7 linked regions of the Rattus norvegicus genome follow. The protein of the gene in region 7 interacts with the protein of the main gene of each other region in a biochemical or structural test. Links are inferred from orthologs where the notes say so. Each region holds a gene or a part of one and is shown on either strand. Other genes may lie near its edges. The genes, in order: Mark4, Ppp5c, Csnk1d, Dyrk1a, Hsp90aa1, Camk2a and Mapt.

Region 1 (3,500 bases), on a different chromosome or scaffold from region 7:
ACACCCCCAGCCCCTCACTGGGGGATTCTAGGCAGGGGCTCCACAACTGAGCCACGCCCCCAGCCCCTCCCTCACTGGGGGATTCTAGGCAGGGGCTCTACCACTGAGCCACGCCCCCAGCCCCTCCCTCGCTGGGGGATTCTAGGCAGGGGCTCTGTACATCACAGCCCTCTTCCCCCTCATCCCAAATCTGAGATAGGATTATTTTACTAATTTGCCTAAGGCTGGCCTTGAGCTCTTTTAGCCTTGGCAGGCTTTGAACCTGCTTTCCTTCAGCCTCAGATCTCCACACAGGACTGGCAGACCTGTGCATCCCGCCAGAGCCAGCTTGGATAAGTTTTCACTACAACGCAGTGACACCTATTTGCTTCTACAGAGGCTACTGCTTCTTTTGGCAGAACCTAGTAGGAGTGACTTTGAAGAGCATTTACACGCGGGCGGGTCCCCGTGGCTAGGTTCGCCCACACCTCGAGTCAATGAATAAGAAGTGCTACAGGCATGGGAGGAACGCTGGGCAGTGGGCAGGACAGGGCTCAAATCACTGACAGCTATGGGAAGGTGCGCAATGTAGCAGAAATGAGTCTCAGTACAGGTGAAAAGGTTCTAGAATATTCCACCATGTTATGTTTAGAGCACCAGACAGGGTGTGCAGAGGCAGGCAGGGTGAGACCCTCACTCACCTTGTGACCTCAGGTCCCCCGATTCTCTCAGGTTCGTCTGTGACCCTAGCAGAGTGGGGAAGGAACAAAATGTAAATCTGGGCCTTAGCAACCCCCTCCCCCTCCCCACTGCCATGACTCTAGGCAGCCCCCGCTGCAGCTCCGCTCTCCCAACAGAGCTGTAGTCCGGATTTGATCCCTTCCATCCAGAGTGCGGTCCAGACAGAAATGGTTAGTGCAGGTTGGAGGAGAGATACTGAAGGATTGGAAGATGAGAAAAGGGGCAGGCAGACACACCTACACAGAAAAGGCACCAACACTCCCACATAGGCAGACGCATCCAGTGACGGAGGGGTCTTCAACTGCTGAGCCACGCCCCAGCCCCTCTCTGGGAGATCCTAGGCCTGGGATTTACAGCTGAGCCACGCCCTTCCCTTCCTCAGACACTCTGTCTGCTTTACTCTTTTTGAAAAATTCTTTCCATATCCTTCCTGCCTAGCCATGACCTTGAGAGCCTCCTGCCTCAGCCTGAGACTGCAGGACTTTTCCCGTTAGTACTCCACTGACTTGTGGCCTACGTCCTCGATTAGAAGGTTGGCTATGTGAGGGTAGACATATTTTACATTTTGCTAGCCATGCTAGGCACACTGAGGCTATCAATGTGTAACAGTCATACCAGATGACAAGTAGATGTCTAAGGAACACACTCAAAAGAATTCCCCACAGCAGTGACCTGAGCTGCCACGGTCACATGTAGATAGTTTCTGTGGTCCCTGGTTTCGAGGTGCAGAGAAGAACCAGAGACGCTCAATGGTTTGCTCAGCCTCACTTAGTAGAGCTGAAACCTGCTGCACCCGTCTGTAACGGGATATGCTTTTTGACACTCCACAGCCCCTACATGGACGCTGTTCCCACAGGGTCCCTTCCAAGGACACATACATGTAGCACACATGCGTGTTCACAGTCAGACATGCAGAGGACAGGCGGAGCATGGAGAACAGAGGAGATAGGACTTACTGATTTTGGATCCCTGGGGCAGAGAGGCGCCCGAGACACAGCGGTTAGAGTTCTGCCGTTTAGAGGGATCGAGGGTAACCCTGCAGGGTAAGGAGGTGGGAGTGGTGACAGGGGGTGCAGAGGACCAAGAGGTCAGGTGCAGGAGGAGAAGCAGAGAAGAAGGTTAGGCCCTGCCCGTCCACCACCCCATACCCCACATCCGGTGCAGCTCACCTTCGGGTCAGTTTGGAGGTCAGCTTGGTGAAGAGGTTGGTGGTGGGGCGGGGCCGCCCGGAGGGCAGGGGTGCGGCCTCATGGGCCAGCGTGGGTGAGGCCGGGGGTCCATTCTGCACACCCCCGCCACTCCCGCCCCCTGCCCGCCGGTCTCGGACCTGGCCCCCATGGAAGGTGCTGCGGATGGTGGAGCCCCGAGCCAGGCGGCTCCGCTCTCCCGATGGGGGAGCCAGGCTGTGACTGGAGGGTGAGGCAGGGGGCACCCGCGAGGTACCAGAGCTGTGGGCAGAGAAAGACAAGTCAGGGTGGGGCCGGAGGGCTGTCAGAGCATTATGGATCCTTGGAACCTCGAATTGTTTACTGGCTCAGTCTCCAGATTCTCCCATCCAAGTTCTAACCAAACCAGACCGTTTAGCTTCCAAGATGGATTACTTTCAGAGTGACGTGCTATAACACAGACCTCCAATATATACCTTCCCAGATCTCAGAGGCCACTAGGCCTCCCTTAAATCCACCTGTGCTTTCTCTCCTGGTATCCAAACCCTTAGGGCTAGTAGAAGTCATACACATAGCCTTGCAGCTGGAAACTACATTTCCCAGAATGCATTGCTGCAAGAAATCAGGTGGCCAGCCACCATCCAATATGTTGCCCCCTGCACTTTGTACCATTTCTAGGCTTAACTTCAGAGATTGCTGGGAGATTGGCAGCTGGCACAGAGGTCTCAGACCCTGAGCAGGGGTCTGCATGGGCAAGTTCAATGGAACCTGTTCTTGGATTCTGTCACAAAAATCAGAACCTCCATCATTTTGAAGCCATGGCCTTCTCTGCAGCTTCGCCTTGTTCCCTGTCTAGAACGTGAAGATCACATCTTCCAATGCTTACAGACAAGGATTCTAGAATCCTTGCTCTTTCACTCGCTGGCTGTGTAACTTTAGACAAGCTAATTAACTTCTCTGTGCCTCATTTCTGGACTAGGATCTACCCAGAATGCAGTTGCTAGTAATTTAGGCCACTGCTGGACACAGGCCAGCCAGAGGGCAGCTGCTTGATGAAGCATCCTTATTAGTTTTTATTTAGTAACTACTGAACAATTTCCTTATCATTGAATGTCATCTGTGGATTAAACTCTGGGTAAAGGTTGATGAGACCCAGGAACAGTTAGCATCCGTCCCAGTTAGAGCAGAGAAGCTTGGTGGGGGGCCATGCCTGGACCAGGTGGAGCCGCCTCAAGCTCCCCATTTTCTCCCTTCATATTTTTACGATATTTTTTACGTGCATGGGTGTTTTGCCCACACGTATGGCTGGGATCATGTGTACCTGGTGCCTGAAGGTCAGAAGTGGGCATCGGATGTTCTGGGACTGGACTTGAGAGAGAGAGATGGCAGCCATGTGGGTGCTAGGAATTAAACCTGAGCTGTCTGTAAGAGCAGCCAGTGCTCTTACCCGCTGACCAGCTCCAGCCCGTACCCTTTTATACTAGACAGGGTCTCACATAGCCCCGGTTGGCCTTAAACTTCTGCTCCTCCTGCATTCACCGTCCAGTGCGGCGTTACAGGTACTCCGCACCTCCCCGGCGTAGGACAGGCCAGATCCAAGGCTTTGCGCACGCC
Region 2 (3,500 bases), on a different chromosome or scaffold from region 7:
GAGCCAGGAGTTGATGGAGGAACCAGCTGTATTTGAAGACCTGCCTCCTAAGAATGTGGCAGGAGCTAGCGCATGTCTGTCTGTCTGCCTCCCGGACACACCCACTCAGGGAACTTGGTTCACAAGGGGTTTTATCTAGGAGAGGATGCTACATGTAGGAAGGGGTCTTCATCATTCAGGGTGTGTGCCGTCATCTTTCTTCTGGCCTGAGTATCTTCACAGTGGGCCTTGACCCTCTGGAGCCATGGTGCCCACCGTTCTTTGGATGGGCTTGTGACTGCAGTGTAGCCTAATGCTCCCCGTGCTGTGTGTGCCGATGCACAGAACTAGGGAAGAAGAGTGGCTCACATTCCAATGTCACCCAAAGGTTAACAGGTGCTCTGGCTCTGAATCTGAACAGATTATTTAGCAGTCACCCCTTAGCCTCTGCTAATTGAGTTTAGAATGTGGGGCAAAGGGAGGGGAAACATCTCCCCAAAGGACAGTTGCCAAAGCAGGAAGCCACTGCTTAGAACTGGCCAGAGTCCAGGGATTGCAGAGTTGTGGGCTGATGCTAAGATCAGGAGCACCACAGTACATGGGAAACTTGATTGCCCAATCTCTTACCCCATCCCTGGGGGCCAGGTCCCCTTCCTGCCCCTCCACGGCTGAAGCCCCTAACTAATCTCCTTGTCATACACCAGCCATTGAAGATGAATACAGTGGGCCCAAGCTTGAGGATGGCAAAGTGACAATCACCTTCATGAAAGACCTCATGCAGTGGTACAAGGATCAGAAGAAACTGCACCGGAAGTGCGCCTACCAGGTAACACACCCTCCTGTGCCACACACGCCTAGGACTCGGGAATGCACCTGCCACTGCCAGCCGTCCTAGGACAGGGCAGTGTGCTGGGCACATGCTGAGGGCTACACTGTCCTCATCTAATAACACAGCACTTGGGGGTGTCGGGCTGAGTTTAGAAGACCGACCAGCCTCAGAAGTGAGATCTTGGGAAGGCATGGGAGAGAGGAATTCTTGAAGGGCTTGGCTGGCTTAAGTTGGGGACAGGAGTAAGAGGACGTGCATGGTCAGGACAGGTCTCAGATAAGAGAAGTCATTTCTGTGACAGAGCTAGCCACATGTGTTGCCTCTCCTGTAATGAGGTCACAGCCTGCCAGTGGTCACTGCCTTCCCCTGGTGCTTAGCCCTAACAGGAGCCATTTTTCCTGCCACCAACCTGAGCAGCCCAAGCCACACTACCCCATGGAGGTCGGTGGTGTGAGTCTTTCAGGATTTTTGTACTGGGGCTCCTGGGTGGATTTGTTGGTTTTCTTTGTGAGTGTGATGTTGGCTGTTTGGCTTATTTCCATCCTTTGCGGTGTCCTTGCCTGACCAGAATAGCTGCCCCTGGGTTTATGACACTTATCTTCTCCCCAAGTTTTATTTTTCTTAATGATTAAACCTACAAGGATGTTGGAAGGTGAGCAGTTAACAGCCCACATACTTGGGCTGGAGAGATGGCTCAGTGGTTAAGAGCACTGACTGCTCTTCCAAAGGTCCTGAGTTCAAATCCCAGCAACCACATGGTGGCTCACAACCATCTGTAATGGGATCCGATGCCCTCTTCTGGTGTATCTGAAGACAGCAACAGTGTACTCATGAACATAAAATAAAAAAATCTTAAAAAAACAAAAACAAAAATCTAGCCACATAGTTTTCACAGGTGTGGGGACTCCATTCCTTGCTTTTCCAGGAACAATCAAGAATCAAATGGCTTTATGAACCCAAAGGCTTTCCATAAAACCTAAAACACAGATAAACACACTTGACTTTTCTCAAGGTTATGTTCAGTGTGAGCAAGTTGTACCAACAGATGTCCTGGTATTTTCATTTCTCCTGAAGTCCCCCAAAATATGTTTAAGGTGATTGAGGGGGTTCTTGAGACAAGGTCTTGCTATACATCCCAGGCTGTGCAGGGCATGGTGGTGTGCACACACCTTTGATCCTAGCCTTTGGGAAGGAGAGACAGATGCAACTCTGAGTTCAAGGCCATTCTCATCTCCATAGGGAAGTCTAGACCAGCCAGAGATACATTGTGAGACCCTGTCTGAAAAACCAAAAGAACAAAACAGTCTAGACTGGCTGTAAGCTGCCAGAATTACAGGTGTGTCCGAACACACTCACTTTAGCAGATTCTCAGAATGCCAATACCCACCGCAGGACTGAAGGTTCTCCACCCTTCTCTGCCGTTAGAAAAACCCACCTTTATGACCATGGCCTTTACATGTGTGCAGGTTAACTCTTTATATGTGTGTGCATCCACTCCTGGATGCACCTGCAGATGCCACAGGAGGGCAGACGACAGGATCTTACTCCACTGGAAGCTCAGCACTTCATCTCTGCTGGCTGGCCCACAAGCTCTGAGGAGCTGCCTTCTTTCTGCGCCCTCAATGCTGGAACTGCAGGCCCCTCACAAAAGTGCTGGGGATTTTAACTCGGCTCCTTGCCAAGCAAGTGCTCTTACCCACTAAGCCATCTCCTTGGCTCTAGGCTGGTTCCTTCTATAAGGTTTCCTGTACTGTGAACTCATGATTTTGTTTCCTAATGCTGGCGAATTTTAAAAGATGAACCAAAACCCTTGTGAAGTGATGGTGGTGTTTAGATTGTTTGCCTGTGTGTATATGTGTACACTGAATGTATGCAGTACCCGTGAGGCCAGAAAGGGGTACTGGGTCCTTTGGGACTGAAGATGTAGAAGGTTGTAAGGTACCATGTGGGTGCTGAAAATCAAACCCTGGTCTTCTGAAAGAGCAGCCAATGCTGCTGAGCCATGTCTTAAGCCCCCGATCATGGTATTTAAATGACACTTAGGCCAGATCAGATCACGGCTTGATGGCTACCTCTCTTCCTGTCCCTGGGTAGCACCCAGTAGTCCAGGCCTTCTCAGTAGCTCCTGGACAGCTGAGGCTTTGTTGTACTCCTGCCCCCGGGCAGCCATGCTTACAGCCTGCCCCGTCTTCCAGATCCTAGTGCAGGTGAAGGAAGTCCTCTGCAAGCTGAGCACGCTGGTGGAGACAACGCTGAAAGAGGTGCGCCTTGGACTATGGGTGCAGGGTGGAGGGGTGATCAAGGCAGGGCAAGCAGTCGGGAGGTCCCCCAGCTCCAGACTCAGAAACCCACCTGTGCATCCTTCCCTACTCTCTGTACCTGACACCCCTCCTACTTGTCTGCCTTCCTCGTTGCTGTGTCCCTTACCTTTGTGTCTTGCATGGATTTTCTTGGTCTGTTGTGACCTCTCACCCCTCATTCCCCTCTGCCCCCTCCCCACATCTCTCTCTGGGCCCCTCCCTCTCCGGTGGCCTCTTTTCTTTCAGACAGAGAAGATTACAGTGTGTGGGGACACCCATGGCCAGTTTTATGACCTCCTCAACATATTTGAGCTCAACGGTTTACCCTCAGAGACCAACCCCTATGTATCCTCTATGCTACCCCATGTGGGCCCCACCAGGGAAGAACATAG
Region 3 (3,500 bases), about 17 Mb from region 7:
CCCTAGTAGATGAATGCATTTTAAGGCTCCAATGTTTAGCAATATACATGTCCGCCCTGAGTATTCAAAGATTTATGAGAATATCTATATTATGAGAGCTAAACTTTTAAAAAATTATTTATGTGTGTGGATGTTTTCCCTACACATCTCTGTGTACCATGTGTCCAAGAAATCCAGAAGATGATGTTGGTTCCCCTGGAACTAGAGATTCAATGTAAAAACTTACTTATGGGTGTTAGGAAATAAATCCAAGTTCTCTGGAAGAACAGATAGAGCTCCTTTTTTTATTTTTTTCTTTTTTTTCTTTCCTTTTTTTTTTTTTTTTTTTTCGGAGCTGGGGACCGAACCCAGGGCCTTGCGCTTGCTAGGCAAGCGCTCTACCACTGAGCTAAATCCCCAACCCCACAGCTAGAGCTCTTAACCACTGAGTGATCTCTCCAGTCCCATGAAAGTCAACTCTTACTTCTTTCTTTCCTTTGAGACAAGATCTCACTATGTAGACCAGGCTGGCCTTAAGTTCACAGAAAGCCACCCTGCCCTCTTCCCAAATTTTGGGGTTACCATGCCATGTCTAAAGGTAACATCATGTCCTATGTCCCTGTCCTACCTACTCTTCAGAATGAAGTAGGGACACAACCCTCAACTGATTAACCCAGAATCTTTTTGAGGCCACATACTGGTGTGGTTAGCAATTCATCAACACATTAAACAGAGGTCCTAGTTTGGTGAAGAACACTAAGAGATGTGCTTACCCGTATGTGAGGTAGGGGTAAGGGGCGTTGGGGGAGCCACTTCCTGGGTTCCCCGCAGACGGCCGGAAGCTGTAGAAGGGAGGCCACGAGTGGCTGGATTCCGGGAGTGTCTTAATCGTTCTTCTCGGTCCCGGCGTTCCCGCTCAGCATCATCTGCAGCCCGGCTGGCACCCTAATGAGGAAAGATTAGAATGAACAGGAGGAAAGTCGCCATGATGTTTTGATGTTTTGTTTTGTCTTTTTAGGAGCACTGACTAGGTCCCCAGCTCTGGGAAAAAAAAAAAAAAAAAAAAGAGCACTGACTGATTTTCCAGAGGTCCCGAGTTCAATTTTCAATAACCACCTGGTGGTTCAGAACGTGTACTTGCATGTATAAAAGAAATAAATATTAAAAAAAAAAAAAAAAGGCAGCTCTTGGGACAAGACTGCCCTTTGAAATCACCCACACCAAACAGTGAAACCAGAAAGACCATGCTCCCACAGAAATGATTACCTACACAATACCCACGAAGGCCACAGTCTCTCTGCACCCCTACCATACTGGAACTCACATGTACAACTTGTCATCTTAATCACTTCCTAGCAGTGTTGGCATGCGAGTGCATTGTGGAAGGAAAAGGAGATTGCCTAGGAGGGGGGAGAGCAAGGTAGAATGCAGACACTGTGAAAATGCCAGCCTTTCTATGACAGGCCAATGGCAAGGACAGGAGTCAGGTTATCAGTCTTAGCACTGTCAGAGGGGTCTGCAAGCACTGCCCTGTGCCACCTAACTTATTGGCCTTAGTTGTCTTTTGAAGCCCCACTATGGCGGAAGGTCCAGGCATCTTGCGAGCATCTTACAGCCGAGGGTTGTCACCTTCAGCTTAGGTTCGTCTACATACACACAGTAGCACGAGGCCCAGCAGGCAGTTCTAGTTCACAGTGCCCTCTATGAGCAGGGACATACATAGTGCAGTTGACAAGGTATGCACTCAGACTAGATACATTACCTACAAAGATTATAATTTCTACTTCAAATTACAATAGTAACTGACTGAAACAGAATCTTGCTTTGCAGCCCAAGACTGGCTTCAAGCTAACAACCATGCTTAGCCCAAACAAGAATTTTTTTTAAATTTAGTCTTTGTCTATTTTATTGAGTTTCATTTTGTAGCCCTGGCTGGCTTGAAACTCACTATATAGACGAGGCTGGTATCACGTTTACAGAGATCTGCCTGCCTTTGCCCTCTGAATGCTGAAATTAAAGGTGTGAGCTACCATGGCTAGTCCAAGAATAAATTTAACTAAAATAGACACGAAAGTTTCACAAAGCCTTGAATTTTAGCAGCAGCAATGTCTGAATGATCACAGGATCACATTCTGACAGAACACCAGGCACTTTAACCCAGAGGCTCTTCTGAGGCCTATGCGGTATACACTAGATTTGGGATGGAGTAAGGGTGCTGGAGGACAAAGAGGGGCAGGGCTTAAGACTACTACTATGCTTCCTACTAGCCCAGACCACCATGCCATGCCACCATAGGTAGCCGAATCCACAAAGTTCTTAAAATTCGTTATATAATTAGAATATTGGTGGACAGTATTACTTGCAGCACCTGGAAAGCCAAAGTTCATGAGTAAGAGCACTTGCTGCCCTTGCAGAGGACCTGGGTTTGGTTCCCAGCACCCACAGAGGCTCACAATAGCTTCTAACTCCAGTTTCTGGGAATCTGACCTCTTCTGACCTTGACAACACAAGCATACGCACACACACACCTTAAAAAATAATTTCAGAAGTAGCTTTACTCCCCTAAAAATTAAAGAGAGGGCTGAGGATTTAGCTCAGTGGTAGAGCGCTTACCTAGGAAGCGCAAGGCCCTGGGTTCGGTCCCCAGCTCCGAAAAAAAGAACCAAAAAAAAAAAAAAAAAAAAAAAAAATTAAAGAGAGGATGAAAATAGAGGAAGAACAGCAGGCAAGCCTTTCCCTAAGAAGGACTCACCAATCCAGAAGGAGCTGACTCTGAGCAGACCTTCATCATGGCTTACTGGGCTTCTTCGTATGGACATCCATAAATGTCAGAGATTTTTCTAATTTAGCATGTTTTGGCTGCATTAAGTAAATGTATTACCTGCATACAGTAACCACAGAAGCCAGAAGAGGGTATGAAGGGAAACTGGATCACCTAGTTGTACTGAGAACTGAACCCAGGTCCTTTGCAAAAGCAGCAAGTGGCCTTAACTGCTGTGCCCCAAATGCTATAGCAGTTTTTGCCTTATTCAGCATCTTCCTTCTCAGTACTCCGAACCTCAGGCAAAGTGGTCTGCAGGCCCAGTTTCTACCAAGTGTGTTTGGCTTTTACAATTCTACTGTGCCTTGTAAACATGAGGCTTGCACAGATAGCATAGCTTTACATACAGACCCAGCCCAGCCACCAGTGCCAGCGCCCTGAGGACCAGGCTGATGTCATCCCCTGCTCTAGCAATTCTACTTACAAATTTGAGCATGTTCCAGTCGAACACATAGTCGTAGGAGAAGCCCTGGCGATGGAACAGATTTCTGAAGAGCTGTCTCAGGTAGGAGTAGTCAGGTTTGTCATCAAAACGTAAGGAACGGCAGAAATTCAGGTATGTGGCAAATTCAGCTATAGAAACAAGAAACTCAAAGCTAGCCCGGAACTACCAACTGTTGCCAAATTCATCCAGTTCACCTCCCACAGTGCCATACACTAAAGACATTAAAGGTGAGATATGAAGACTAGTCATATTTAG
Region 4 (3,500 bases), on a different chromosome or scaffold from region 7:
CAACATAAATAAACAACTAAAAACAATTTAACTCAAAAAGAAAAGACTGTGCTGGGCACAGTGCAGCACGCCTGTAACTCCAGCTTCTTGAAGGCAGGAGGACAATGATCACAAGCAGAAATGCCAGCTGGGCTTGCCCAACAGATCAGTGACCTCTGTAAGGTAGGTGGGAACATATAGCTGTGCTATTCTGGGAATGACTATGTATGTTTACAGTACATAGACCATACACACATGAACGAGAGGAACAAAGGAAGGCCCAAAACACTTTACTAAGTATGAGCTGTGCCACTAAGCCAACGCAGGAAGAATTAGGAAAGCTGGGGAGGGAGACCCAGCATGGCACATCCCTCAGAGTAAAAGATCTGAGCACTTGAGTGCAGAGGATAAAGAAAGGCCTAGTTAGGGGACAGAGCACAAAGGCATTGCTATCACAGGAATCTACATGTTAGTTCCAGGTACAAGGGAAACAAGGGCTACATAAAGCAGGGAAACAGACGGACTGGAGTAGCAAAGTTCACATGTCTGCAGAGGTGCCTCAGGCTGACGAGCACTTAGACAGGACACAGGAAAGAGCAGCCGGTCTCCTTCATAGAAAGACAGGGCACACATAGCTCTCATAGTGGGAAGGCTGACTATATATGCATAAAATCAGAAGTCACGCTTCACTAACCCGAAGACTAACTCCCTGGCCCTAAATTTATGACAGCAAATGAGTGAGGTTAGAGCCATTGTTATAAAACAACCGCTAATAGTAGAAGAGTCTTCTTACTGCTAAGACTTGTAGAATGATATTTACAGAAAGCCCAGCGCAACCCAGGGGTCTCAGGAGTTAAGTGCAGTCAGGGGTAAGCAGGAAGCAATGCTTTAAAAATGGTGACTGCGATGACTGACAATAAGGGGTGAGACCAAGAAGGAAGTATGCAAGGTCATCTCAAAGCATAGAAGACAGGAACACCCTCAAAAAGAGACAGCTAAGGGAGGGGGGAACAAAGAAATGGAGAACCAAAGACACGAACTACCAGAAAAAGTAGAGCAATTCAATGCACGTGACTGAGTCAACACTTGCAAACACGGCCAGATGACAATGAGGGCAAGCATGAGAGCACTGAGCTGAGGGCTGCTGAAGACCAGGGGGAAACTCAAGAAACTGCAGGGAGGTGAGGGAGACAAGAACTAGAGGGAAATTGGCTGTATACTAGAAACACAAGGAGCCAGAGCTCATGAAGGAAGGAGGGGACATGGGCCTGGCCTTCAACAAGAAGCCCAGCGACAGCAGAGACAGGCAGGCTGTGAGAAAGCAGGTGCACAGGCATCGCCACCACCACAGAATGCCTGTATGATGAGTACCACAGCGGGAGAGTCAGGAAGAGTGTGGAGAAGTTGGAAGCATTTCACAGACAACAGGAAGAAGGGATTCTCTGAGCAATGTTGCCTCTGGTGAATAAGAAGACTGAGGACAGAACAGTATGATAGTTTATCCACAAGAACCAATCAGCCCAATCACAACAAAGGAATGACCACCAATCTAGCACAGATTTTCCTTACTCTACAAATAACCGACTGTCCTCTCGAACAAAGAATCAAAATGTAGCACAGAGTGCAGAGGGGCGTTATCTCATTAAGGTTCTGTGTTCTTGTCTGAACAGTAAACACCTCCTTCCTGTGTTTGAATGCTTGGTCCCCAGCTGGCAGCAAGTGACAGGGGTGAAGCCTCTACTGGAGGAGGCTGGCCTATGGGGCAGGTCTTGAAGCTCTAATGGGGTAGGGCTCCAGGCTCTATGGGGTAGGCCTCGAGGCTCTATAGCGCAGCCCCATTTCCTCTTTCTTGCTTGCAGAGGCTTCCTGACCCTGCCACCCTGCTTCCCCTGCCTGCTGTCACGTCTTCCCTGACATAATGTATGATTTCCTTTTGAACTGAGAGCCAGAGTCCACCCTGTCATCCTGACACTGTTTCTACCTGCGTCTTTACCATGGCAATGAGACATAGCTAAGATGGCATCTCTACAGTTCTACCCTCCTACATGCTCCACACAAACCTTAACATTACTTTATTATTACACTTATTAACGTCAGTAAGTTTAAAAAGCAAAGCAAATACTTCCAAGGTTAAAAATGCATCACAGGGGCTGGGGATTTAGCTCAGTGGTAGAGCGCTTGCCTAGCAAGCACAAGGCCCTGGGTTCGGTCCCCAGCTCCGAAAAAAAGAAAAAAGAAAAAGAAGAAAAAAAAAAGTGCATCACAAACTGATTCAGAAGCAGGATGAGGAATGCTAGAAGCCCCGAGAGGCTAACGACAGGGTCCAGACTGCACAGCTCACAGAGTAAACTCACGGTGCACCTAGAGGTCTCAGTACCTACTGAGAGGCAGGGAGCAAACTGCTGACATCCAGAAGCCGCTGTGGCAAGTGAGAAGATAAACCTGGGGACACCTGGGGGGACAGTGGAGGACAGTGGAGGGCAGTGGAGGGCAGTGGAGGGCAGTGGAGGACAGTGGAGGGACAGTGGAGGGACAGTGGAGGACACCTGGGAGGACAGTGGAGGGACAGTGGAGGGACAGTGGAGGGACAGTGGAGGACACCTGGGAGGACAGTGGAGAGCGTGTTTACCCAATGTGTGCTCTCACTCCTAACAAGGAGCGGAGTTTTATTTGCTAAGCAGTAAGGACACTCCATGCCTTTAGAACGAAGGACACACACATAGTCACCCTGACAGCCCATGGCAGCTCATACAGCCAAAGCTAGTGGGGTCGTGGCAGGAGCCTGGGACGCTCACCTGGGGACTATGTGTCTCACAGTCCATGGCCTGGACAGCAGCAGCGAAGTGCCCGCCACTGTGCCGATGCTGGTGCGTCGGATCCGACCTGGCTCTCCCACTGTTGCTCGTTCCCGAGGATCCACCTTTAACATCAGGACACGGAATAACTTGTGAGTTTAAAGCTAATTCTGCTCAAGTTAGTATCTAAGACTGCCGTTACTGTCACTCAGGGTAAAAAGGACATTCAGGTAAGAGTCCTTGCTCTGCAAGTGCTTGGACCTGTGTGTGGGTCTCCAGCATTCATATAAAAACCTGGCCTGAATGAACCCCAGGACTTGGGGAAGGGGGTGCCACTCCCAAGAACTCACTGGCCAGGCAGCCTGGATACAACAGCAGGACTCTGGTGCAGTGGGACTCCTATTTCCAAGTAATAAGGAAGACACACAGTGTCATGCCCCTACATGTGACCTTAGGTGTGTACATATGCACACATACGTGCATGTACTACACAGCACATATGCAGATACACAAAACTTTCAAGCTACGGTATTAACTTGAAATATACCACAAAGCTACTGGAATATTAGATGTCTTCCTACATCACCTGTTATACAGCCAGGTTCTCCTCAGAAAAGCAAAAATTCAAGGACAGAGTCCATTTAAATGGACATTCAAGTCCATTTACTTGGCTATAAGTAGCTTTGTTGCTACCTGTCAGGCAGATAGTGATCACGTGCTCATTTA
Region 5 (4,273 bases), on a different chromosome or scaffold from region 7:
ACCACCCCTCTGATGAAATCTGTGGAAGAAAAGAACAAGACACCTACCTTAATCATTCCGAAAACTAAGGAATCATTTTTGGCTGGTCGAGAGGACTGAGCCCAGGGCCTCAAACAAGTTATGCAAAACCCCTGCCAATAGTGCTTATTCTTTCTATCCGTACTTACTCAGATACTCGGGGATTAACTCCTCACAGTTATCCATGATAAAAACTCTGCGAACATACAACTTGATGTTGTTCTTTTTCTTTCTGTTTTCAAATAGATCAAAAGGAGCGCGTCTTGGGACAAAAAGAAGAGCCCGGAATTCTAATTGTCCTTCAACAGAAAAATGCTGCAATAAAATGAAATACCTTTAACTGCCATGGACAAAAATGAATCAACTTTTCCACTGAGCTATGTTACACTTAGAAGCACTTCTATAGGTTGAGTGGGTGTAAAGGTTAACGTTAAGTCAACCCGAAAACCTGCTTTAAGTCACTCACCTTTACTGCCAAATGTTCTTCCCAGTCGTTGGTTAAGCTCTTGTAGAACTCTCCGTATTCTTCATTCGTAATGTCATCAGGATTTCTGGTCCAGATCGGCTTTGTTTTGTTGAGTTCTTCTTGATCAATGTACTTTTCCTTTATCTTCTTCTTTTTCTTCTTGTCACCATCCTTCTTCTCTTCTTCTTCTTCATCAGAACCAACATCTTCTATTTCAGGCTTGTCATCAGACTCCTTTTCTTCTTTTTCTTTCTCTTCCTCTTTCTCTTCCTTTTCTTCAGCCTCATCATCACTGACTTCCTTGTCACGTTCCTTCTCCACCTTAAAAAAAAGTCACTTCATTACTGTGTCACAAATTATTTAAGATCTAAGAAATAAATGTCCATAATTAAGAAACTCATCAGTGTTTTCTATAATTTCTCAACAGTCCTCCAGAGCACAGACCCAAACTTGTTTCAAACAGGCTTATTATTTACAGAATGCTAAGACCATGCTCAGTTGTCTCAGTTATCATATCAATTTACCCTGCAGTTGAAAGAAAAACTTACAAAGAGAGTAATGGGGTAGCCAATAAACTGAGAATGTTTCTTCACAATTTCTTTTATTCTCCTTTCCTCCAAATACTCAGTTTGGTCTTCTTTTAGATGCAAGATAACCTTTGTTCCACGACCCATTGGTTCACCTGAAAAAGAAAAGGTTATGGACTATGAATTCAAATGGCTAATATTCAAAGTCTTCTCCCAGTGCTTGTTGGAGCGGAGATAAAAACGTGCAGTGTTTCCTAGCAGCTAACTTTCCACACAAATGCAGTCTCCAGAGCTTTAACTTCCTTGCTACTGAGCAAATAGCCATACGTTTTCCACATTTCCTCCAACCACCCAGTCCTTGAAGCTCCCTTGAGATTAACAATTTTGTTGGAGGGCTTAGGACTAAGACTATCCCAGACTGCTCCAAACTCTTCAATTCTCCCAGTTAACCCTCTTAAACACTTGACCTAAAATAACCAGACACCCACTGCACTCTGAATGCACTCCTGGCCTCTGCCTACCTGTGTCTGTCCTCACAGTGAAGGATCCTCCAGCTGAGGACTCCCAGGCGTACTGCTCGTCATCATTATGCTTGGTGATGACAGTCACTTTCTCAGCAACCAAATACGCAGAGTAAAAACCAACACCAAACTGGCCAATCATAGAGATATCTGCACCAGCCTGCAAAGCCTCCATGAAGGCTTTGGTGCCTGACTTGGCAATAGTGCCAAGGTTATTGATCAAGTCAGCCTTGGTCATTCCAATGCCAGTATCCACAATAGTGAGGGTTCGGTCTTGCTTGTTGGGAATGAGATTAATGTGCAGCTCCTTCCCCGAGTCCAGTTTACTAGGGTCGGTCAAGCTCTCGTATCTGATCTTATCCAGAGCCTATTAAGAGAAGACAAACGTCACGCACACAGACAAGCCTCAAGGTGAAATTTTTACTGAAACCAACATCCATTCAATTCTTCAAGTGATATACTCACGTCTGAGGAGTTGGAAATGAGCTCCCTCAGAAAGATCTCTTTGTTCGAGTAGAAAGTGTTGATGATCAAGGACATTAACTGGGCAATTTCTGCCTGAAAGGCAAAGGTTTCGACCTCCTCTTCCTCCATTGGTTGGTCTTGGGTCTGGGTTTCCTCAGGCATCTGGGAACACGGGACGGTGTTAAAGCCTCACAGAATGTCTGCAGGCGTCCTAATGCCTACCTACCCCTTTCCTATAGAAATTCCTTAGGAACTCTATTTCGGTCTGAGACGGGGACGGAATAGAAGAGGCCGAGGGGGGGGGTGGATGACAAAGGGATGACCTCATTTCAGAATGCGGTAATTACGAGGCGCATGTGCGCGCCTCCGGGAGGACGTTCGGACCCAAGCGGCTCCACGCACGCCGTTCCTAACGGCCACCCTCCCCCCACAAGCCGCCGCTATGGCGCCTCCCTCCTCCGCCCGCGCCTCAGGAGCACCGGCGAGAGCCGGGGAGGCCTAGGCAAAGGCCAGAGCCGAACGTTCGCCTCGCCCCCGACCCTCCGCCGCCGCTCCTCCTCGGCGGCCATCACCGCATCCTGGGCCTGGGGCGTAGCGGCCGCCTGGGGCCTAGGGTCTGAAGGCATGGCCGCCCACCTCTGCGGGCTGAGGGAGCTCGGATGGCGGCCCCGACCCCGCCGCCGCGTCTACATCCGTCAACCTCTCTCCCCAATCCCCCACTAAGCCCCTCTGCGAGGACACTCACCTTGGCAGAATGAGCACGCACGAAACGTGACTAACCGCACCGGGACACTGAAGCAACTGGCGCGCCGCCCCCCGCGCCTGCCTTATATAGAGGCGGGCCCGCCCAGCGCGCGGCGCTTTTTCCAGAAGCCTCCCGAACCTTCCGGAAGAACCCTCCCCAACCGTCGCCTCGGCCGCGCGCCTGCGCCTGCGCACTGGACGGGCCCCGCCCCTCCACCAGGAGCGCGCAGAACCCGCGCGGAGAACGAACGCGAGCCCCTCCTCCACAGCCAGGTGCTCTGGACATGCGCAGTCCGGGATTCTCGGCGGGCCTGGCGCCTTCCCGGGCCGCGCGCGCGCCGCCTCTCGTGGAGCGCGGACAAGGTGACCAGCGCATGCGCTAGAGGCCGCCATGTGAGCACTCTAGGGCTCCTCTTCTCGGGGGGTGGGGGTGGGGTCTGCGAAAGGGATGTTCCCATGTGAGGCTGCGTTGCTGTGTGAACCTCAGTGCCCTCTGCGGCGCGTTAGGTGTCTGAGGCGAGAAGATCCCCCTGTCTTCGGGCTCCCATTGGGGACGTAGACTCCCGGCGGGACGCGAGTCTGACTCCTGGCTTCCACCTGATGGGTGGGGCGTATCCCGAGCCCGGGTTCTGCTTGTTGCGCGGTCTGGCGCGTGGTACCACTGTCTGAATTTTAGGGCTGTCCCCTCTGGAGCCTGTCCTGAAGCCTTACTGTGGGTAGTACACGGTGGATCTTCCAAATCTGTCCATAGTGCTTGGGGGTTTCTCTTTGACCAAAACCCATGACCCTCAAACTTGGGCGTTGTTAGGGTTTTAGTGTCAAATTTGTGCTACCTTAACTTATTGTAATTACGGGGGCCCAGAAAGATGGCTTCATCCAGTAGAGGTGCTTGGGTTTGATATCTGCCACCCAGATAGCGGGGGTTGGGAGTGGGGAGCTAACCCTCAGCGCCTGTGACACTCATGTGCACACACACACACACACACTCGCACACACACTCGCACAATGTGAAAATAAGTGTAAAGGGCTAAAGAGTCAGCTAGGAGCAGTTAGTGATACCAAACTCGCACGTTAAGGCAGCTCACAAGCACCAGTAACTACAGTCAGAAAATACAGTCCCCTCTGGCCTCTGCGGCACCAGGAGCACACATGGTGCACAGACACACGCAGTCAAAACGCTCATACACAACACACTACCCTGGTTTTTGAGGCACCTTCTTAGGGTGTCATGACGTTACTTTGGGCGATTAACGTGACCCAAAAGATAGTTTCCTTGTTTAATACAGGCTTTAATAGACTTCCGTTTGGCTTCCATTTCCCTTTCCTTTATGTTACTCCCACCCACTATTTCCGCATCTTTTCCTGCTGACGAAAACGATCACTCATTAAGATTCGAAAGAAAAGGGCTGGAGAGATGGCTCAGTGGTTAAAGCATAGACTGGACCCAGGTTCAATTCCCAATGACCACGTGGCAGCTCAAAACGGTAATTCTAATCTCTGACACCCTCACGCAAACATACATGCACGCAGGC
Region 6 (4,046 bases), on a different chromosome or scaffold from region 7:
CCTTGAGGACAACAGCCACCCCAGCGGCAACGGCCAGCCAGATGCCTACTGCGTGCCAAGCTTGAGGTTACGTCTTCACAGGTCATCTACATAATTCGACCAGCCTTCTGAGTCTCCGGCTTGCAGGGCAGAAAGAGTGGCAGCCTGCCCAATGTCACAGAGCTAAGGGTCATGTGGGGCAGCCCCTCCCTGCAAAAGACACAGGGTTCACCCTTCATAGGGTACCCTGGCCTGTGTCACACAGACAGCCCAGGCAGAAGCCAGCCCACTACAGCCCCTTCCTCTTCACCCAAGCCTCTTCAAGCACAGGGTCATGCACCGTTTCCTGAGGTCCCACAAGCTCTGACACCGCAAGCAGCATTTTATAGGTTTATACGTTTTCCTGGGGAATGTCTATTTAGACTTTCCTCTGAATCCTGGAGGAATAAGTGACCTAAAAAGAGGTTAAAAGCACCAATAGTTCTGGAAGGAGGAGGTCTGAAGTTGATTGGACAAGACCTGGTGTCTGCCACCCTCGGTTTTCCTCTGCCCCTTCTCTGACACCTCTGAGTATCCAGGAAGGCAGAGGAGCTGAGAAGGCCAAGTCAGCCCACAGAGCCCAATCCTAATGATCCCCATTTCTCCTCAGGGCAAAGGAGCAGTTCTCTGTCACTGTGATCCCTGAAGTCCCATCTTAACTCCTTCCCTTATGTTCTATGACGCACTCCTGGCTGAGCCAGCCTCGGTGGCCCCTGAAAGGCAGCTCCTGTCTATTCAAGAAATTCTTAGGTTCCAAGTGAATACCAGACATGCTCTGGAAAGGGGTCTCCCAATAAACTTTAAGAGACAGTCCTCCTGAGCAGACCTAAAGACTGTATTCCTGCCCCCACCCCTGCCTCCAACGCAAAGACGTGCAGAATAGCTGGAAGTCTGTAGGCAAATATGAATACACATTTGCACAAGGGAGCTAGGATATGTGTAGGTCTTGGTCTCGTCTCAGTCTTGGTCTTGATGTTGGTCTCTGTCTCTCTCTATCTCTCTATCTCTATCTCTGACTCTGTCTCTCTCTGTCTCTCTGTCTGTCTCTCTCTCTGTCTCTGTCTCTCTCTTTCTGTCTCTCTGTCTCTCTGTCTCTCTGTCTCTCTCTCTCTCTCTGTGTGTGAATGTGTTCAGGGGCTATGCTTATACACAGCCATAGGTCCACCTCCCACACATATGCAGGCAACAGCATAAGCTCACACATGCCTACAACACCCACACACCCACATGAGCCTAGGCCACACACACACACACACACACACACAGAGAGAGAGAGAGAGAGAGAGAGAGAGAGCTTTCTTTACATATTCCTCAAGTCACATGCACCCTCAAGAACATTCTGTTCACATTTCACATCTGTGACCTTACACACACACATACACACACACACACACACACACACACACACACACACGATGTTCACTGAGAGTACCCATCTCTGACCTGCCACACATGTGCACACAGATGCATGTTCAAACCTTTGCTGCAACACCACCTAGCCAAGAGCAACCCTTGCATAATTGCATGCATGCAACCTTGCAGTGCACACTGACATTTTTGGGCTTGCCATACAAATATCACACACACACACATACACACACACATACACACACACACACCTCTTCATGTTTTACTTGCACCAGTGTTTGCCCTTTTAGTTCGCAGTGTGCCCAGTGTCAGCTCTTATACAACTCCATCTGCTCCCCACAGATTTCATATATAGCCTCTCCTCAACATAACTGTACCTGCAGGACCTCACACTGGCGCATCTGCTCACAGAGCCCCTTGTCTCATGTTCCTGCTGCTACAGCAGGAACCAAACAGGGCTGGTAGGATCACTTATGCATCTGTGGGGCACTCTGCCAAACTGCTCCCCAACTCCTGATCCATCCCAGGACCCCCACAACCCAGCTGGGAACATCTAGAAACCTCTTATGTCTGTTGCCTGCTGCTCTGCTGGAGGGAACCTCTCTCCTCGCAGCCTCCCAAGGTATAGAGGTATAACACCAAAGGCAACTTTGCCAAAGGACCACAGTTTTTGTGCACACAGCCACAGTGGCACCCCCAGCTGGCTGACTGTCCTTCCCCTCCTCCCAACACCTCGATTGCTTTACGTTAACTCCTTCAGCACTGAAGCTCTCGCTCCTGGAAGGAAGCTGGGAAAGCAGAAAGGAATGTGTCAGAGAAAAGCTAGCTGCCCTGCATAGAGTCTAAAGTCAGGATCTCCAAGTAGGGGGAATGGAAGGGGGGAGGGGGCGGGGGTGAAGTCTCTCCGTCACTGGAGGTTTCTAAGTACAACTACAGAAAAGATTCCAGCTCAGACCCAGCCAAGTGGGAAAATCCCTTTCAAACCCCAAGTTTCTGAAAATCTTTGTGAACCCAGGTCGTGTGTACTTGTATGCATAGGTGTGTGCAAATACCATCAATATCAATCTGCTTCCTTTCCAACACACACACACACACACACACACACACACACACACACACACAACCAGGCTGACTGGGCACATAAATGTGTCAACGCCTAACTCTGGACAGCCTATGCATACACAGTGCTTCCAAATCATGCTGCACGCCTCCGTCTGCATGCACGGGAGAGCTTTAGTCACATAGGCACACGCCCCCCTGCCCAAGAGGCTGATCCCCATGCCCTCTAGGACTGCCCGAGGTGTGACTCACTTTCCCAGTTCCTCGAAGAGCTGGTACTCTTCCGTGAATCGGGTGCAGGTGATGGTAGCCATCCTGGCACTGGGCAGGCAGGCGAGGCTTTAGGCTCGGGACTAGGACTGGGATGCTGATACTCTGCTCCCAGAACTAGGGGCCACTCGCCTGCCCGTGCTCCTGAGTGCAAATGGAGAACCAGCTTGATTGACGAGCTTGGGGCTTCTGAGCAGGGCACTGTGGCTGCTCACAGCCTCGCGAGCCTTCGTCAGCATCCAGGTCCCCATGGCAACCACCTCCGAAACGCCCTGTTCCCGTTGCCCCGGTAACTGCCTCCCCAACACCTGCCTGCCTTTCACTTCAAAACCTGCTCCTCCGTTGCCCTGGCCTTATATACACAATACTGCAGGACTGTGTGGGCCCAGAAGCAAGTGGACCTTGTTCTCCCAGGGTGATGTACTGAGGGGGTTGGAGAAGGGGATGTGAACAAACTTAGTCCACAAGTGATCTTCTCTTCCTACCTCCCCCACCTCCAACTATAGGGCCCTTTTAACAGACGGGATGGGATTAAGTGGGGCAAAGAGGCAGTTGCTATGGTAACAGCTAGTGGGTGCCACATTCTGGGATGGTCCTTGAGAAAGACAGGATGTAGTTACCCTGGCAACTTCATCTCCTCTGGAGAGACAGGTATTGCCCCGTTGCCCTGGCAACAGCTGGGTTCTAAGGTTTACAGGGGGAAGGATGGCTAATTCATCTTTCTCCTTCCCTTCCCCCTTGTAGTCTCTGTAATGGTTTCTCTGCTCCCTCTGGGAATTGGTCTGGTTGACTTGGCCTCAGCCTCTGTCCCTATTTCTCTCCTGCTCTCTCTCTCTCTCTCTCTCTCTCTCTCTCTCTCTCTCTCTCTCTGCTTTTTAGCCACTGTGTGTATCACACTGTCACCTTAGCTTGAGGAAAAGTACAGAGCAAACCCAGAACTCTGAAGGAACGGCTCTGTCTGCTTTCTCACCCCTACCTGCCAGCACCGTGCAGGAAGGGCCCCTCCTGAGGCCTCTTGCACAAGCTCTCCCCACCCATCCTCCCAGAGGGACCATGAAGACTTGGTCTCCTGGGGCTCATGTCCCAGTTTTTGCTTGTACTTCCCATCAAGGTAGGACTGGGGAGAGGCAACTATAATGAGGTGAGCATGGCCGGACTCAACCCCCTCCCCCACCCCCAGGGCTGGGCCAGTGGCATGGATATACCCTGCCCTGGAGTCTTCTTTCCCAAACTCACTGGTCCTCTTCCCTAATGAGTTCACTTGTGTACATCAACCACACTGGCAGCCACAAATCACGCCCCCAAGGCATGGAATTTAAGACTAGTAATCT
Region 7 (3,500 bases):
GCCATAGCCAGGAGTCCAAGAGGAAGTAGAAAGCATGAGATGGCAGTCTGAGGCATGACCCAGGGTTCTGTGCATGTTGGACAACCTCTCTGCCAGCTGGGCCACAGGCTCAGTTAGCATTACGACTTTGCTCGAGCTCTCTGGTAACTAGTGGGAAAGAGCTGCCTTCAGTCTCCTGCCTTGTTCTTGGTACACAACGTGAGGATGAGAATCTATTCCAGATAGTCCGTAGAGAACCCTCTAGGACAACCCTCCTAATGCTGCGTCCCTTTAATACAGTGCCTCATGCCATGGTGATTCCCCAGCCACAAAATTATGTTGGGCTGGAAAGATGACTCAGTGATTAAGAGCCCTGATTGTTCTTGCCAAGGCCCTGAGTTCAATTCCCAGCAACCTCATGGTGGCTCACGACCATCTGTAATGGGATCTGATGCCCTCTTCTGGTGTGTGTGAAGACAGTGCAGTATACTCACATATATAAAATAAAAATAAATAAATAAATAAATAAATAAATAAATAAAAATAAAATCTTAAAAAATAAATAAAATCATGTCATTGCTACTTCATAACTGTAATCTTGCTACTGTTATGTAAATTTACTGTGATGTAAATATCTGACATGCAGGATATGACATTCTATCTCCAAGGGACAGATTGAGAACCACTGCTCTGGGACCAGTCTCATCCACTGTGTTAACCCTCACATCCCCATATGACCTCCCATTTGCCCCCCCCTTACCTTCTTATTCCCTCCTCCAGGGACATGGGTGATGTTATCCAAGGAGCCAATCTTCGACTGGACTCTATCCTTGAAGTCCAGCTTCTCTGATTTTACTTCTACCTGGCCACCTCCTGGAATACAACGCACATGAGTCTCTCGTCATCTTCTGTGGTCTGGGGGACTTAGCACATGCTAAACGAGCTTGCAGCCTCCAGAGCTTGGGGGCTTGGGGGCTGCTGGAGACTCGATTAGATAGATAGATAGATAGATAGATAGATAGATAGATAGATAGATAGATAGATAGATAGATAGATAGATAGATCGGTCATGTGTCACCATTCAGGAGACACGTCCATTCTGACTCCAACACAGGCTGGGCCAGTGATCCAAGGAACAGCCCATTCTCTGAGAGTTGCCTGGGCTCTACCTCATCTAGAAAAGAGACTTAGCCACAGGAAGCTCTTGTTAGTGCTTGCAAACTACCTGCCTCTTCTCTAAGGAGAGGGTGCACAGAGGATATTTACCCTGCAAAATCTTCCTCCTGAGATGGTTCAGGGGTAGATGAAGCTTGGCCAGGAGAAGGCGCGCTAAATTTTAAAACCAGACGCCTTCCAGCTGTGGAGATTTTCTTAGGAATTTTGTACAGGATTGTAAGCCACAGCCCCTCAAGTCCTTGAGATTGAACTGTCTGTTAAATGTACAATAAGGAGAGAGAGCCTAACCTCCCCTTTGGCTCAGGTCACCACACCAGAGGGTAGCAGGAGGAAGGGACCTTTGCTGTTTTCCTGGGAAGGGTACTTTCTTCGAACAACCTTACAGTGAGGATAAGACAACAGCCCAGAAGCTCTCATGTTATAGCTGGTGCAGTCAAAGTGTCCCCCGTGCTGGGATATTGACAGAGCCAGCCTTTGGAGGACGCCAACCAGACCCAGGGCTGGCCCTTTTTTTTTTTTTTTTTCTTTTTTTCGGGAGCTGGGAACCGAACCCAGGGCCTTAGGCTTGCTAGGCAAGCGCTCTACCACTGAGCTAAATCCCCAACCCCCAGGGCTGGCCCTTTTATACAGGCATTTCAGGAGAGCAACAGGATGGATCTAAAACCAGTTCCTCCTCTCCTTCTACCCCTTGTCTAGGCTGAGAAGCAGGGGCAAACCCAGGCCCCAGGCCACACAGCAGTTTCCCATTTAACATTCACTGCCCAGGTTGGCCTACTCTAGGAAGCACCCACCAGCCCAGCCAGCACCCTTCTGCCCCAAAGCCTCCCTCCCTCAAGTGCTACCTGGCTTGTGATGGATGTTCCCTAAGGAACCACACTTGGAGGTCACCTTGCTCAGGTCCACTGGCTTGTAGACTATTTGCACCTGCAGGTCAAGGAGGATGGGGAAGAGACAGAGAACAAAGGAAGTTGTGTTACCAGGGGTAACAGTGCAAAGCCGAATGGACCACTTGTCAGTGGCTCCCATCAGCTCCTGAATACATCCCACTCGGGATGGAAACTATGCTCCCCAAATCCAGCCAACCTCCATCCCCCAGGGAGCTGGGTCCTCACCAAGTAGCTGTGAGACCTAAACATCTTCAATCCCAGATACACAAGACACTGTCACGGAAAAGCAGAGGTGCCTGGTCCTTGTATGTGACCACGGTATCTATGTAGCGGATACTTAAATATAAAAACATAAATCCTTTTATTGATGAAATTGATGACACCCAGTGGAGGAGGAAGTGATGGGCCTAGGCAGCCCTGCACCTTCTCCTCAGAAGAGACTCAGAGGAGAAGCCGGTGAGGATGTGTGTGCTTCATCCATGAAGCTCCCATGGTCTAGGTCAGCAGACAGGACCTAGAACGACTCTATGACTCAGGGTAAGAGCCAGTTCGTGTCTGGACATACAGACTCCTGAGCACTTCAGCCTCTACTGAGGAGAGCAAAGCGACACCAACGGAAGGCAGGCACATAGCAGGAACCACAGCTTCAGTGAGTGTCTCAGCAAGCATAAGTGAGCAGACAGGACACACAGGGAGCCCTGCCAGCTCAAGGGTCCTTCATGTGACCCAGCAACAATGCCTGCCCTGGGAAATGGTGGCTGCTTCCCTGACAGGACACCCTGAAGGAGACCACCCAGGCAGATGGGGCTCCTAAAAGCCAGTCTCTCAGATCTGTGGTTTTACAGCTTAGACAGCTAGTCATGAGCGGCCACTTGCTGAGTCCTGTGGGTCTCCCATACAGACCATGGTCATTCCAGGGGTGAGGAGTCTCATCTCCTGTCCCGAGAGAGGGGTGGCCTCATGTTCAAGAATCAATAAAGCAAGGTGGTTGCTACAGAGGTCTCAAAGGATAACTCCTTCTTGTTTTCATAGCTAGCTGTGCTGATGGTGTTCTGTGGGGTGTGTGTGTGTGTGTGTGTGTGTGTGTGTGTGTGTGTGTGCGTGCGCACACGCTTTCTGCTCATGAACCTGACAGAAGAGGAGGGCCGTGGCCTCACAAATCAGTGAGCTAGGGTGTCAGCCTTCCCCTGCAGAGGGTGGGCAAGGAGCAGATAATCCCAAGGACCTTCAGCAAACAGATCCAGAGGCCAGCAGGAGCTCTGGGGCAGGTAATGAAGGAGGAGCCAAGGGCCTCCAAAAAGGTACAGGAATGCTACAGGGACCTACCCCTTTCCCCTCTGGCCCTACCCCTTCCCCTCTGGCCCAGGTAAAGTCATTAGAGAGTCGTACCAGGGGTTGTGTTGGGGAATAGGAGATGGGGAATAGGTAGCCTGGAATGGTCAAAGGAGAAAGGAATGT

What was found.
Region 1: of the proteins of Mapt (region 7) and Mark4, one has a biochemical effect on the other in vitro, tested with the Homo sapiens proteins (2 studies listed by BioGRID). The link is inferred for Rattus norvegicus from reciprocal best matches to the Homo sapiens genes MAPT and MARK4.
Region 2: of the proteins of Mapt (region 7) and Ppp5c, one has a biochemical effect on the other in vitro, tested with the Homo sapiens proteins (3 studies listed by BioGRID). The link is inferred for Rattus norvegicus from reciprocal best matches to the Homo sapiens genes MAPT and PPP5C.
Region 3: of the proteins of Mapt (region 7) and Csnk1d, one has a biochemical effect on the other in vitro, tested with the Homo sapiens proteins (4 studies listed by BioGRID). The link is inferred for Rattus norvegicus from reciprocal best matches to the Homo sapiens genes MAPT and CSNK1D.
Region 4: of the proteins of Mapt (region 7) and Dyrk1a, one has a biochemical effect on the other in vitro, tested with the Homo sapiens proteins (2 studies listed by BioGRID). The link is inferred for Rattus norvegicus from reciprocal best matches to the Homo sapiens genes MAPT and DYRK1A.
Region 5: the proteins of Mapt (region 7) and Hsp90aa1 form a complex in vitro, tested with the Homo sapiens proteins (3 studies listed by BioGRID, with this or other methods). The link is inferred for Rattus norvegicus from reciprocal best matches to the Homo sapiens genes MAPT and HSP90AA1.
Region 6: of the proteins of Mapt (region 7) and Camk2a, one has a biochemical effect on the other in vitro, tested with the Homo sapiens proteins (2 studies listed by BioGRID). The link is inferred for Rattus norvegicus from reciprocal best matches to the Homo sapiens genes MAPT and CAMK2A.

What each region holds. Positions count from the first base shown.
Region 1 is NC_086019.1:88,205,554-88,209,053, forward strand, and holds part of Mark4 (MAP/microtubule affinity-regulating kinase 4), read right to left. Parts: intron 2,169-3,500; coding exon 1,890-2,168; intron 1,757-1,889; coding exon of another isoform or gene 1,677-1,756; intron 726-1,676; coding exon 681-725; intron 1-680. UniProt on the Homo sapiens protein: Serine/threonine-protein kinase. Phosphorylates the microtubule-associated protein MAPT/TAU. Also phosphorylates the microtubule-associated proteins MAP2 and MAP4.
Region 2 is NC_086019.1:86,822,006-86,825,505, reverse strand, and holds part of Ppp5c (serine/threonine-protein phosphatase 5), read left to right. Parts: intron 1-683; coding exon 684-805; intron 806-3,003; coding exon 3,004-3,069; intron 3,070-3,354; coding exon 3,355-3,453; intron 3,454-3,500. UniProt on the Homo sapiens protein: Serine/threonine-protein phosphatase that dephosphorylates a myriad of proteins involved in different signaling pathways including the kinases CSNK1E, ASK1/MAP3K5, PRKDC and RAF1, the nuclear receptors NR3C1, PPARG, ESR1 and ESR2, SMAD proteins and TAU/MAPT.
Region 3 is NC_086028.1:106,730,689-106,734,188, forward strand, and holds part of Csnk1d (casein kinase I isoform delta), read right to left. Parts: exon of another isoform or gene 3,374-3,500; coding exon 3,225-3,373; exon of another isoform or gene 925-3,224; coding exon 753-924; exon of another isoform or gene 1-752. UniProt on the Homo sapiens protein: Essential serine/threonine-protein kinase that regulates diverse cellular growth and survival processes including Wnt signaling, DNA repair and circadian rhythms. It can phosphorylate a large number of proteins.
Region 4 is NC_086029.1:47,469,302-47,472,801, reverse strand, and holds part of Dyrk1a (dual specificity tyrosine-phosphorylation-regulated kinase 1A), read right to left. Parts: intron 2,900-3,500; coding exon 2,775-2,899; intron 1-2,774. UniProt on the Homo sapiens protein: Dual-specificity kinase which possesses both serine/threonine and tyrosine kinase activities. Exhibits a substrate preference for proline at position P+1 and arginine at position P-3.
Region 5 is NC_086024.1:135,526,341-135,530,613, forward strand, and holds the start of Hsp90aa1 (heat shock protein HSP 90-alpha), read right to left. Parts: upstream 2,801-4,273; 5' UTR 2,743-2,800; intron 2,160-2,742; coding exon 1,998-2,159; intron 1,900-1,997; coding exon 1,533-1,899; intron 1,167-1,532; coding exon 1,033-1,166; intron 806-1,032; coding exon 485-805; intron 334-484; coding exon 168-333; intron 20-167; coding exon 1-19. UniProt on the Homo sapiens protein: Molecular chaperone that promotes the maturation, structural maintenance and proper regulation of specific target proteins involved for instance in cell cycle control and signal transduction.
Region 6 is NC_086036.1:56,647,934-56,651,979, reverse strand, and holds the start of Camk2a (calcium/calmodulin-dependent protein kinase type II subunit alpha), read right to left. Parts: upstream 2,801-4,046; 5' UTR 2,760-2,800; coding exon 2,698-2,759; intron 1-2,697. UniProt on the Homo sapiens protein: Calcium/calmodulin-dependent protein kinase that functions autonomously after Ca(2+)/calmodulin-binding and autophosphorylation, and is involved in various processes, such as synaptic plasticity, neurotransmitter release and long-term potentiation.
Region 7 is NC_086028.1:89,725,625-89,729,124, reverse strand, and holds part of Mapt (microtubule-associated protein tau), read right to left. Parts: intron 2,080-3,500; coding exon 1,998-2,079; intron 853-1,997; coding exon 740-852; intron 1-739. UniProt on the Homo sapiens protein: Promotes microtubule assembly and stability, and might be involved in the establishment and maintenance of neuronal polarity.